Linked DNA regions of Stegostoma tigrinum. The protein of the gene in region 2 purifies or fractionates together with the protein of the main gene of each other region. This does not show direct contact. Links are inferred from orthologs where the notes say so. Each region holds a gene or a part of one and is shown on either strand. Other genes may lie near its edges.

Region 1 (7,232 bases), on a different chromosome or scaffold from region 2:
TCTCTCCCTGTATAGAGGACCAATGTTCCCTTTACTTCTTATTGCTTTTTAAATACCTGAAGAAACTCTTAATATCTGTTTTTATAATTCTAGCTAGCTTGCTATTATATTCTAATTTCTCCTCTTATTTCTTTTTAGTAATTCTTTAACACTGTTCATAATCTTCAGACACTTCTGGCCTGCTACTTATCTTTTTATTTCAATGTAATATTTTCAACTTTCTTTGTTGGCACTAATGGTACACCCTTCTCTTACAGTCTTTATTTCTCACTGGGGAACCATTGTAGAATCCTTTAAATTGACAAACAACCATTCACTGTTTTCTGTAATTGCCAATTTTGATTGTGACACCATCTCCTCTAACTATTCCAAATTTTACTAACAAGTGGTATATGCGATATTTTGCTAAACGCTTGAAAAATCAATATTCACATTAAGTATTGTACCCTCACCAATTTAAACATGCATATAGATGAGTCATATGGGGCTCCTGTGTCTCTACCTCTGAACAAAGATATTGGAGTTCAAATCCCATCTGACCCAGAGGTGTACAATAACATCTGTGAACAGGCTGATTGGAAAATATCTATAAATGAAATGAATTGTGGACAACTAGGGTGTGATCCAATATAACCAACAGTACACCTTGCTTATAGCAGATAGCTAACTAAAGTACTGAGGTGAATCAGATTGTCTTGAGTCATGAACGCTTTTGAAATGTTCTGTGTGGCCTATGGGATTAGTGTTAGTAAACCAGCAAAAAAACTGAAAGCCAACAAATAAAATATAGATCCTTACCTATGTACGTGTTATAGCTGCAACACTTAGTTACTGCATCAGAAAACCGAAGTAATTCCATCAACAATGCCTCAGAAGAGTCATGAAAATTCAATGGCAGCACAAAACATCAGAAACTTATGAAAAAAGTAAACACGCAAAGCACAGAGAGGTTCATAGTACAAAGTTTAACCAATGTGGGATGGCCACATAACAGAAGACCTACTTGGGTAGTCCAGTAATCAATGTCAAACAAAAGCTTGATCCTCTTATAGTGGTTTGTTCAAAAGATACATTCATGTTCTAAAGAATATGAGCAGGCAACTTAGTTCCTTCAACCTGCTCCAACATTCAAGATGATAATTGCTGTTGGTAGTTTAACTCCACTTTACTGTCAGTCCCCATAATCCTGGATTTACTTGTAAATCAAAATCTGTCCTCAAATTAATTATGTTCTGCAGAGCTAGCCCCCATGTTCTCAGAGTACTGAATTCCGAAAATTGATCATACCCAGAAGAAATATCTGTCTTAATCAGGAGGGTACTTATTTTAGGTATGTTCTAGATTTGCTCATGAAGTGAAACATCACCCAATATCTACATTCTTAAGACATCCTCTGAATCTTTTGTTTTAACAAGATCACCTCTCATTTTTCTCAACTCCAAAGACTGTACACCCAACTGAAGACAAAATCCATTCATACCATGAATCAGCCTAGTGAATCTTTTGTATGGCTTCCAATTCAAGGATCTCTCTCCTGAAATAAAGACAGAAAAAAAAACTGTGGATGGTATTGTCTCACCAACGCCACATGTAAATGTGACAAAATTTCCCGACTTTTATGTTCCACTCCCTTGCCACAAAGGCCAACAGTCCATTTACCTTCCTCACCTACTTGCTGTACATGCATGCTAATGTCTTGTAAACTGTTTTGAAGAAACAGATCAGACTGTAAATGTGAACCCCATTTCTCTCTCCACAAATGCTGCCAGTTTCTCCAGCATTTTCTCTTTTTATTTCAGACTTTTGGTAACTGCAGTACTTTCCTTTCATTATTATGAGTTCTGTGCCACTTATTGAATGATCTTTGCAAATATTACAATACACTACATCTTCAGATTCCTTTCTATCTACCTGCGTATTAAGTTTGTTAAAGAATTCTAATTCTTTTCAAACAATTTATTTTTCCTGAATCCATGTTGATTCAACTTGATTGTATTTTAGTTTTCTAAACTTCTTGCTGTGAATTCTTTAATGATGAATTTTGGCATTTTTCCAGTGATAGACATAAGGATAACTGTTCTATAGTTTCTTGCTTTGTGCTTTCCTCTTGAATACAGATGCTACGTTTGCAGGAAATTTTGCAAGATTACAACTTACACATACACTTATTTTAAGATCACAGAATTCAGCCAGCAGATTTAGGGGACTTGTTGGCTAAGTTAAGAATGAAATTTTCTATGTTGAACACCTCTGTGAATGACCCTGAAATATTTTACAAAGTTTATGGGTGCATTTAAATGGATGTTGTTAATTGTTGTCTCTCAACTGTAATTTAACTGCAGTTTATACAGTTGCAGTTATACATCGTTATACAGTCACAAGTGTGAGAAACAAATTTTAAGACAGTTAATTTTGTATGGAGAAGAAGCTGAGAAAGAAGACAAGCTCACATTCAAAATCCATTAGCAGTCTGTTACAATCCTAAGGATGTCAAAATCATAAATAACCAAGCAAGGACTAGGGGGGGTATAGGTTTAAAGCGAGAGAAGAAAGATTTAAAAGGGACCTGAAGGGCAACTTTTTCATGCAGAGAATGGTGTGTGTATGGAATGAACTGCCACAAGAAGTGGTGGCTAGTACAATTGCAATATTAAAAAGACATCAGGATGGCTACATGAATAGGAAGGGATTAGATGGATATGCGCCAAATGCTGGCAAGTGGGACTAGATAAATTTAGAGTATCTAATCGACATGGACGAATCGAGCCCAAAGGTCTGTATCCGTGTTGTACAACTCTACGACTCTTAGAAACCCGACCTTCTGCCAAAGATCAATTCCAATGAAACCCGTTTTCTCACCATCACTCACAGTTCTAGCAATTCCCCCAGTATATACCTGCCGATTAAGACAGTGTCAACGAACCCAAACCAATGACACCTATTACCAGCAGCAGCACCACCATCCCTCACAGTTATACATCAGCCTGAGTATGACTGCGGCCAGTGACTTGCAGAGCGTTAATCAGCAGAACACCGGGACTGATGTCCAGTGACACTGCGTGCTAAACGATCACAAGGAGATCACCTAGTCCGCGAAAAGCCCCGAAAGTGAGCGACTCCTTCACTCGATAATCCCGATCCTGACAACACGTCCTCCTCCACCCAGTTCCTGCTCCGCGGCCTTACGTCATTTCCTTTCTTGACGTCTACGACAGGAAGTACAGCTCAGCATGCGCCTGGTTTAACACGTCACCACGGGTCTAGGAAGGGGCAAGATCGAGATCACGTGAATTTCAGTGACTGTATCCATTTTGGAGAGTGAAGCTGTTTATTTCGATCGTCTTATGTTGTTTAAGGTGCTGATGGGAATAAAGGTGATAAAACGGGATAAGAAGTTTTCGAAGTAGGCCACACCCGTCTGTGTTTGAAACAAAAACAGAAATTGCTGGAAGAGCTCAGCAGGTCTGGCAGCATCTGTGGAGAGAAAGTAGGGATAATGTTTTGGGTCGACTGGCCCTTTGGCTGCCCCATAACATGCAATGATCAAACGTAAGCTGCTAGATTCGGGTCAATATCCAAATTTCCAAGTGAAACCTGTGTGGCATTGTATCACTTGCAGTCACTACCAGGAGACCGCTATATAGACTAAAGCTCGCGTAGAATAATCATGTTGGGAAGCAAGTGTCTGGCATTCTGGCTTCATGATCACCTCAACTCAGTTGTGACAATGTTAATATGGTGATGATGTTTGGCATGCTACCTCAGAATCTCACTTGTTCCTGCTACCTGATCTACAGAGGCTTCTGGGGACAGTTCAAGTGTTTGCATAGAAACAGTAGGGTTTGTTTGTAATAGAAATTAATCTTCATAACAAAATTATCACCTGAACATCAAAAACCTGGGAACTATTGATGAAACTAAAAGGAACGGCCACGTAAATGGTCAGAAGATTGATGAGGGGTGGGAAAGGGGTGGTGGCACTGAAATAAAATTCTGGAAATTCTCAGCAGCTCAGGCATCTGTGGAGAGAAAATGGAGTTTCAGAACAGAAACTGGCTGTCCTGCATCAAGTGACACACTTCAGCTTTTCTCAAAGCATCACCAACAGAAGTCATGAGGATGATGAAATATTCTCTACTGTCTGGATGGTGCAACTGCAGTCACACTCAAATAACTCAACAGAGCAGTCTGATTGGCAATCTACACATATTTAAGCCTCTACTAACTTCACCAGCAGTACATTATTACTTCAGTATTTACTACCCAAAGAATACACTGCGACAAGTCACCACAGCTTCTTTGCCAGCATTTTCAAAATTCAGTTTCCATCATTGGAAAGGACAAAGTGTGCAGGAGCGTTATCATGTTGAGTTTTGCTCCCAGATTCAACATCCTTAATGGGTGGCATGGTGGCTCAGTGGTTAGTACTGCTGCCTCACAATGCCAGGGATGCTAGTTCAATTCCATCCTTAGGCAGCTCTCTGTGTGGATTTCCTCCGAGTGCACCAGTTTCTTCCTGCAGTTCAAAGATGTGCAGGCGAGGTGTATTGGCCATGCTAAATTGCCTGTAATGTTCAGGGATGTTTAGATTAGTTGGGTGAGAGGGGGTTGGATCTGGGTGGGATGCTCTGAGGGTTGTTGGTCCAAAGGGCCTGTTTCTACACTGTAGAGGTTCTATGAAATAATATTCCTCATTAGCATTTTCAAAATCTTGGAAATCCACACCCAACTGTAGTTTATGAATACTTGTACCATTTCATGCAATGGCATAAATAATGGCTCGTTCTGAAAAGCAACTGAGGTAGATAATAACTATCAACTTTTTTAACATTGCTAATAAAAGTTTTAGAATAAATATGAGAAGTTTCCTTACCCCAACAATCATATTTAGTCTCATCTATTTGGTATCGTGACCCCTAACATTTTGCCTATTCATTAACATTCTCAGGTGACTGTCTTTCCCACCAACCACTTGTTGCATCACTACCCATCTCTTCATTGCTGAGATACCCATTCAATTCTATGTTCTCTCTCCTGTCAGCTGTAGTCACCTTCAAACTTATCTTTTTCTCCCTGCTGAAGTTTCTTAGAAGGGGGTCAGCAGCTCTATCATTAGGATTCTTTCATACATTCCCTACTTCTGAAATTACAACAATGATTACAAAATTATTTAAATTTATTGTAAAATGTTTAGTGATAGTCTAGGGGTGTGAAAGACTATCAAAATGAAAGTTTTCCTTTTTAATTGTACCCCTTACCTTCCCTTACTTTTCATTATCCTTCAAAGATGTCTTGTTTGCTCTCAACATTAAACATCTTTAGACCAGATTAGAGTGAGGGGTAAGAAATCTTGTTTGCTTCTTTTTCTGTTTCAGAGTTCTTTCCATATATTTGCTGGATTCCAGGTAGGATTTCCCTAGATTCTAGAAAGCTCACAACAATTTCAAAAGCAGCAAGTGTGACAGCAGTGTGCAAGAAAGGAGGGAGGTGGAAAACTGCAAACAGTAGGCCAATTAGACTCAAACCTGGAGTTCTAGCTTTGAAGCAGGGATCTTACCTGCTGTACCACAAGACAAAGAGCTATATCCAATTGCTGCTCATTCCACACTCCCATTACTATAATGGAAAGGAAAATTGGATGGTGTGCATAATAGATGAACAATACAATATCCCTCATTTTACATAGCCAAAAGTTAGTATTACCTCAGTTAGATTGAACACAGATCCAGTTTTTCTAAAGGTAAAAGAGAATGCTAAAATGTAAATATGGAGCATTTACTCAGGAAATTCAAATTTCCAATGGGAAGAATTACATTGAGACATTTCTGATGGGGTCTCACAATGAACATTCAGCCTTATACATACTCAGATATTTACCCACCTTTCTATTAATTTCAGGTATAATTTGGTGATTGATGGAAGGAACTGTTTAGGGGAGGCCTAAAAAAATCCTGTGGTCCCCAAATCCACTGAAAATGCTCACCCATGCTGTGCCTCCCACAACAATGCTCAATCTACTGCACCCCTGACAAGTCACAGGATCCCTGTCCCTCTCACTGCTCACACCAATGCACTACTTTCTGCTCCACATCTAGCAATACTCGGATCCCATTCCATTAACATTCAAACACACCAGCATTTTCTATACCCAACAATGCACGCAATTTTACACAACTGACAATGTTTATTCCTGAATCCCTGACAAAACCAACTGCAAGCAAATGTTAAGCAACCAAACAGCTTGGCAAAAAGCAAACCTAGCCTGCAAGCTTGCCATAGACAATTATGAAAAAGATGAATTGCTGCATAGTGGTGATTCTTCAATTTGGCAAGGGTAAGTTGTATGTTTTTTTAAAAGTCCATATTATTTTGTCTTACAACACTGTGCATGATTCATCTTCAGAGATTTTTGCAGAAATTTGTTAAAGGAATTATCAATCAGTATCATGTTATTTTGATTTGGGCTGGCACGGTGGCTCAGTGGTTAGCACTGTTGCCTCACAGCACCAGGGACCAGGGTTCAATTCCAACCTCAGGTGACTCTCTGTGTGGAGTTTGCACATTCTTCTCGCGTATGCATGGGTTTCCTCTGGGTGCTCCAGTTTCCTCCCACAGTCCTACTATACTACAGTGACCAGGGATGTACAGACTAGGTGGATTAGCCATGGGAAATGTAGGGTTATGGGGATGTGGTGGGTTTGGGTGGGATGATGTTTGGAGGGCCAGTGTGGACTTGATGGGCTGAATGGCCTGCTTCCACACTGTAGAGATTCTAAGATTCTACTCTACCTGACATTGCTCACACCTCCTCATCAGTTACCCAGCACAACTCCCACACCCCTTAACAAAGTTCACCACTACTGCACCCTATAATGTTCACACCCCTTATCTACCCTCCTAACAAAGGCACACCCCAATCCCAACAGTCCCCAGTTGCCTGCACTTCCACCAATGATCATACACATGATATGGTTCATCCTGCTCAGCGGCCTTTGCAATATTACTACCACACTCTGGCAATGGCCCACTCCCATTACTGACAATGCTCAAACGCTCAACAGTGCTTACCCCCGGCAATGTTCAATCCCACCACAAATACTTAGCAATTATACTTCGTAAATATCAGGAAGAGTTTGAGCTAACACAGTCTTCGTCAAGAACAATTAGAGATGTTCAATAAATACTGCACTTGCTAGCAACACATCTTGTGAACCCTTTGAAAGATAATGTGG
Region 2 (7,310 bases):
TCTACAGGATGGCATCAGGAAACAGAAGAAATCTTAGATATTTCGCCAGTCTGATCCTGACTGAACTCTCATACTGACCCTAATGCTCTGCAAAGATTCCCTCATCAAACTTTAACGAACAATGGTGTCTTCATGCCTCAGGCAGAAAGCTCAGATAACAGGATGCCATTCAGGCCTGAATGCTGGATCTTTGAAAGAGTTATCCAACTAGATCAACTCCACCTCCACAAACTAGATCAACTCCACCTCCACAAACTTCTCTTTTTCAGATATTTATCCAATTCCCTTTCAAAAGTTATTGTTCAACCTGCATCCACTACCTGTTCAAGCACAGCTTTCCGCATAATAAGTAGCTGCTCACCTCCCCTCTGGCCGTTTGGCCAATTCTCTTCAGACTGGATTGCTCTGGTGAGCCACTGAAAACAATCACCTTACCGTGTGTAAGCTAGCTGCTTTGGTTCCTAAAACAGTGACAACACCTCAAAAAGTTCTTTGCTATCCAAAAAGTGCTTTGTGACATCCTGAGTGTTTCAGAAATGTTCATCTTCCTTTCTTTAGATGAACAGTCTACGTGGGACTAGCTGTGAAACAGGCAACGTACTGTCAACAGTTTCATTTCATTAGCATTGGTGCCAGTTGTAGCAATGCTAAAATTAAAAAAGAAACATTTCTGCTTCCAAACAACCCTCTGGAATGAAATGGCACAAGCACTGGGCAAACCTACAGTGACCTGCTCCAACAAAAATTCAATGCAGATTACCAATTTAACATGTGGACAAGCTGCTAGAGGGCAGATGCCACACTTAAATACTGCACTATTCAGTCTCCAGAGCCACAAACTACCGAAACTAACAACTATAAGAAATAGAAGCAGGAGTAAACCATTCAAACAAGCCTGATCCTGCATTCAATACGATAATGGCTGTTCCAGGCCTCAACTCTGCTTTCATATCAGCTCACTGCTTTCATTGCTCTCCAATCTGCAATACATCTAAAATCTACATACCTACTGTTCAAATATTTTGAGCAATTGAGGCTTCACAACTCCCTGCAGCAGAAAATTCCCCAGACATTTACTATATTCAGAGAAGTAAATCGTTTGCATTTCAGTTTGAAATGAATACCCATTATTCTGTACCAAAATCCCTAGTGAGGTTCACTCACTCATAAAAACATCTTCTCAATGTCTATCCTGTCTTGCCCCTCAGAATCTTGTAAGTTTCAATAAGATCATCCCTCATTCTTCTAAACTCTAATGAAGAAAGGTGTAACTTGTTTACACCTTCTTGACAAGTCAGCCTCTTTAAGCCAGGAATGAGCCCAGTAAATCTCATTTGAATTGCTTCCAATTACAGTATATCATCTTATAAATATTGGGACCAAAACTGTGGGTAGTTCTCTAGATGCAGCCTCACTAACATCCTGTATAAGTTGCCCACAAAGAAACAATAGAGGCCCACAAATGGTATTTCTGTGCCAAAAATGCAGTTGGCAGCCACCTTCTTCTACTAACTCATTTTCCTAAGCTCCTCTCCTCCCTGTCTCACAATCGTAAACCCCTCCTTCACCCAAACCTGGTTCACTAATATCCTTTAGGGAAGGAAACTGCCATCCTTTCCTGGTCTGGTCTACATGTGACTCCAAACCCACAGCAATGTGGTTGACTGTCACCTGCCCTCTGGGCAATTACGGGTGGGCAATAAATGCCACCTAGCCAGCAACTTCCTCATTCCATGAATGCATTTTTTAAAAAGTTCTCTGTCCTTTTTTTAAAAAAATCAAATCCAGTATCGTTGGGGTAAGCCGCAACTCCTCTCCTCCTTTGGGTTGACTCCTTCCCAGCCTTTTCCTCTCCACTTTATTCCCACTGCCATCCTTATGCGTCTTCTCACACCACCACCCTCCTCCTGTAGGCTGTCTCTCTCCTCCCTACATTATCTCACCTTCCTTCACAAATATCTTTTTCCACTTGCCTCCCCTCCCTCATCACCTTTTAAGATGTGTTGCGACTGTTCGCCTTCCATCCTCTGGGTATCTCTGCTGTTTCACTCTCCCTGTGCCCTGTATGGTCTGAGCTGGGGTCTGTGGAATATCTGTGTATTTATTTCTCTCATCTGTCATAGCACCGGGCTCAACTTCACCTCTCTGTAAGCTGTTCTCTGGATGTCTCACTCCTTTCCTTTTCACCTCTATGCTGTACACTGAGCTCTGACACACGAGCCCTGTAATTCTCTGTCTCTGCTTCCCACTATCAACACAAACAGAACACCATCAAACTGCCCTCAAAAGGTGTCTGGGTCCTGTCTATTAGGCTCAGTGACATGGTTGCTACCTCTCTTCCGTTGTCTCGCCTTCATTTGTCCAGGTCCTGGCTGCTGTACAGGATGTACACAGGGTCTTATTCTATACTGCTCTGAAGTGAAGTCTTTACACTTTCACCGCCTCCTTTTCCCATCTATCACTGTCTTTCTCCCTTCAATTAAATAACACATACATACTGGTGTGAGACAAAGCCTCTATCCCTCTATCATCTCACCTGCATACGAGCTCCGGTAGTCCTGTGCACTGAACGTATACTATAAGATGTACACACTGGGCCCCACTGCAGTCTCTATCCCGCTTACCTGTACTCTGGGTGCTGTATACAGGGTCCTGTATACACTGCAGGGTGGTGTATACACAATAAAGTGTACACACTGGGCCCCGCTGCAGTCTCTATCCCTCTCACCTGTACTCTGGGTGCTGTATACAGGGTCCTGTACACACTGTAGGGTGGTTTATACACGATAAGATGTACACGCTGGGCCCCGCTGCAGTCTCTATCCCTCTCACCTGTACTCAGGGTGCTGTATACAGGGTCCTGTACACACTGTAGGGTGGTTTATACACAATAAGGTGTACACACTGGGCCCCGCTGCAGTCTCTATCCCTCTCACCTGTACTCAGGGGGCTGTATACAGGGTCCTGTACACGCTGTAGGGTGGTGAATACACGATAAGGTGTACACACTGGGCCCCGCTGCAGTCTCTATCCCTCTCACCTGTACTCAGGGGGCTGTATACAGGGTCCTGTACACGCTGTAGGGTGGTGAATACACAATAAGATGTACACACTGGGCCCCGCTACAGTCTCTATCCCTCTCACCTGTACTCTGGGTGCTGTATATAGGGTCCTGTACACGCTGTAGGGTGGTGAATACACGATAAGATGTACACACTGGGCCCCGCTGCAGTCTCTATCCCTCTCACCTGTACTCAGGGGGCTGTATACAGGGTCCTGTACACGCTGTAGGGTGGTGAATACACGATAAGATGTACACACTGGGCCCCGCTGCAGTCTCTATCCCTCTCACCTGTACTCTGGGTGCTGTATACAGGGTCCTGTACACGCTGTAGGGTGGTGAATACACGATAAGATGTACACACTGGGCCCCGCTGCAGTCTCTATCCCTCTCACCTGTACTCAGGGGGCTGTATACAGGGTGCTGTACACGCTGTAGGGTGGTGAATACACGATAAGGTGTACACACTGGGCCCCGCTGCAGTCTCTATCCCTCTCACCTGTACTCAGGGGGCTGTATACAGGGTCCTGTACACGCTGTAGGGTGGTGAATACACGATAAGGTGTACACACTGGGCCCCGCTGCAGTCTCTAGCACTCTCGCGACGCCATTTTCCCCGGCCGCGGATCGGCGACGTGTACATGTGACGTCACACGCATCCCCGCGCCGTGACGTTACTGACCCACACCGTTATAGGCGGGGCGTCGAGTTGAGCGTGAGGGTCAGCGTCCGCCAGCGCATCATCGTTCACGATTATCGTGTATGAATACAATTCATCAGTATCGTCCATCATTATAGTTATTATTGGAGTAGACTATTATTGTAACAGTCAATCAGGATGGTAAATCATTATTGTCCATTATTATAGTTCATTATTATTGTTATCATAAAACAGTATTGTCCAACAGAGGTAATAAAATGTGAGGCTGGATGAACACAGCAGGCCCAGCAGCATCTCAGGAGCACAAAAGCTGACGTTTCAGGCCTAGACCCTTCATCAGAGAGGGGGATGGGGGGAGGGAACTGGAATAAATAGGGAGAGAGGGGGAGGCGGACCGAAGATGGAGAGTAAAGAAGATAGGTGGAGTGAGTGTAGGTGGGGAGGTAGGGAGGGGATAGGTCAGTCCAGGGAAGACGGACAGGTCAAGGAGGTGGGATGAGGTTAGTAGGTAGCTGGGGGTGCGGCTTGGGGTGGGAGGAAGGGATGGGTGAGAGGAAGAACAGGTTAGGGAGGCAGAGACAGGTTGGACTGGTTTTGGGATGCAGTGGGTGGAGGGGAAGAGCTGGGCTGGTTTAGGGATGCAGTGGGGGGAGGGGACGAACTGGGCTGGTTTTGGGATGCAGTGGTGGAAGGGGAGATTTTGAAGCTGGTGAAGTCCACGTTGATACCATTGGGCTGCAGGGTTCCCAAGTGGAATATGAGTTGCTGTTCCTGCAACCTTCGGGTGGCATCATTGTGGCACTGCAGGAGGCCCATGATGGACATGTCGTCTAAGGAATGGGAGGGGGAGTGGAAATGGTTTGCGACTGGGAGGTGCAGTTGTTTATTGCGAACTGAGCGGAGGTGTTCTGCAAAGCAGCCCCCAAACCTCCGCTTGGTTTCCCCAATGTAGAGGAAGCCACACCGGGTACAGTGGATACAGTATACCGCATTGGCAGATGTGCAGGTGACCATCTGCTTAATGTGGAAAGTCATCTTGGGGCCTGGGATGGGGGTGAGGGAGGAGGTGTGGGGGCAAGTGTAGCTCTTCCTGCGGTTGCAGGGGAAGGTGCCGGGTGTGATGGGGTTGGACGGGAAGTGTGGAGCGGACAAGGGAGACCTCCCACCCACAGCCTCCAACCTCATTGTCCCCCGACGCCGCACTGCCCGTTTCTCTCTCCTTCCCAAAATCCACAAACCCGCCTGCCCTGGCCGACCTATTGTCTCCGCCTGCTCCTGCCCCACTGAACTCATCTCCACCTATCTGGACTCCATTTTCTTCCCCTTGGTCCAGGAACTCCCCACCTACATCCGTGACACCACCCATGCCCTCCACCTCCTCCAGAACTTCCAATTCCCTGGCACCCAACACCTCATTTTCACCATGGACGTCCAGTCCCTATACACCTGCATTCCTCATGCAGATGGCCTGAAGGCCCTCCGCTTCTTCCTGTCCTGCAGGCCCGACCAGTCCCCCTCCACCAACACCCTCATCCGCCTAGCCAAACACGTCCTCACCCTCAACAACTTCTCTTTCAATTCTTCCCACTTCCTACAGACAAAGGGGTTGGCCAAGGGTACCTGCATGGGCCCAAGCTATGCCTGCCTCTTTGTAGGTTACGTGGAACAGTCCCTCTTCCGCACCTACACTGGCCCCAAACACCACCTCTTCCTCCATTACATTGATGACTGTATCGGCACCACCTCTTGCTCCCAAGAGGAGCTCGAACAGTTCATCCACTTCACCAACACCTTCCACCCCAACCTCCAGTTCACCTGGGCCATCTCCAACACATCCCTCACCTTCCTGGACCTCTCTGTCTCCATCTCAGGTAACCAGCTAGAAACTGATGTCCATTTCAAGCCCACCGACTCCCACAGCTACCTAGAATACACCTCCTTCCACCCACACCCCTGCAAAAATTCCATCCCCCATTTCCCAATTCCTTTGCTTCCACCGCAACTGCTCCCAAGATGTGGCATTCCACTCCCGCACATCCCAGATGGCCCCATTCTTCAAGGACCGCAACATCCCCACCGCAGTGGTCGAGTACAAGCTTGACCGTGTCTCCCACATTTCCCGCAACACATCCGTCACACCCTGCCCCCGCAATAACTGCCCTCAGAAAATCCCCCTCGTCCTCTAATACCACCCCAGCAACCTCCGGATACAACGCATCATCCTCCGACACTTCCGCCATCTACAATCCGACCCCACCACCCAAGTCCTTTTTCCATCCCCACCCTTGTCTGCCTTCCGCAGAGACCACTCTCTCCGTGACTCCCTTGTCCACTCCACACTCCCCTCCAACCCCACCACACCCTGCACCTTCCCCTGCAACTGCAGGAAGTGCTACACATGTCCCCACACCTCCTCCCTCACCCCTATCCCAGGCCCCACGATGACTTTCCATATTAAGCAGATGGTCACCTGCACATCCACCAATGTAGTATACTGTATCCACTGTACCCGGTGTGGCTTTCTCTACATTGGGGAAACCAAGCGGAGGCTCAGGGACCGCTTTGCAGAACACCTCTGCTCGGTTCACAATAAACAACTGCATCTCCCAGTCGCAAACCATTTTAACTCCCTGTCCCATTCCTTAGACGACATGTCCATCCTGGGCCTCCTGCAGTGCCACAATGATGCCACCCGAAGGTTGCAGGAACAGCAACTCATATTCCGCTTGGGAACCCTGCAGCCCAATGGTATCAATGTTGACTTCACAAGCTTCAAAATCTCCGCCTCCCCCACTGCATCCCAAAACCAGCCCAGCTCGTCCCTGCCTGCCTAACGTGTTCTTCCTCTAACCTCATCCCCTCCTCCCACCTCAAGCCGCACCTCCATTTCCTACCTACTAACCTCATCCTGCCTCCTTGACCTGTCCGCCCTCCCTGGACTGACCTATCCCCTCCCCACCTATACTCTCCTGTCCACCTATCTTCTCCTCTATTGATCTTTGGTCTCCTCCCCCTCTCTCCCTATTTATTCCAGAACCCTCTCCTCATCCCCCTCTCTGATGAAGGGTCTAGGCCTGAAATGTCAGCTTTTGTGCTCCTGAGATGCTGCTGGGCCTGCTGTGTTCATCCAGCTTCACACTTTGTTATCTTGGATTCTCCAGCATCTGCAGTTCCCATTATCTCTTGTCCATCAGAGATAATGGGAACTGCAGATGCTGGAGAATCCGAGATAACAAGGTGTAGAGCTGGATGAACACAGCAGGCCAAGCAGCGTCTTAGGAGCAGGAAGGCTGACATTTCAGGCCTAGACCCTTCGTCAGAAAAGAGGGTTGGGGAGAGGGTTCTGAAATAAATAGGGAGAGAGGGGAAGGCGGATTGAAGACCAGAGAGTTGCAGTGGGAGAGAGATCCCCTGAGGTTTGTCCAAAGGGAGGAGGGTAACTTCTTCAGGTTAGACATCCATTAGAGTTCATGAGAATTGTCTTATTATTTTGCATCCATAATGTGCAATATTGTAGTTCATAACTATTGTCCTGAAAACATTATAGTTCATTGTTTTAGTTAAATTATTATTGTTATTTATCATTGT

What was found. The genes of interacting proteins can lie anywhere in the genome.
Region 1: the proteins of sec16a (region 2) and protein transport protein Sec23A purify together in Homo sapiens (affinity purification with mass spectrometry; 3 studies listed by BioGRID and IntAct, with this or other methods). This does not show direct contact. The link is inferred for Stegostoma tigrinum from reciprocal best matches to the Homo sapiens genes SEC16A and SEC23B.

What each region holds. Positions count from the first base shown.
Region 1 is NC_081362.1:40,470,810-40,478,041, reverse strand, and holds the start of protein transport protein Sec23A, read right to left. Parts: upstream 3,201-7,232; 5' UTR 3,086-3,200; intron 3,080-3,085; exon of another isoform or gene 2,897-3,079; intron 1,535-2,896; 5' UTR 1,484-1,534; coding exon 1,481-1,483; intron 1-1,480. UniProt on the Homo sapiens protein: Component of the coat protein complex II (COPII) which promotes the formation of transport vesicles from the endoplasmic reticulum (ER).
Region 2 is NC_081382.1:42,911,423-42,918,732, forward strand, and holds the start of sec16a (protein transport protein Sec16A), read right to left. Parts: upstream 3,039-7,310; 5' UTR 2,937-3,038; intron 2,903-2,936; exon of another isoform or gene 2,833-2,902; intron 1-2,832. UniProt on the Homo sapiens protein: Acts as a molecular scaffold that plays a key role in the organization of the endoplasmic reticulum exit sites (ERES), also known as transitional endoplasmic reticulum (tER).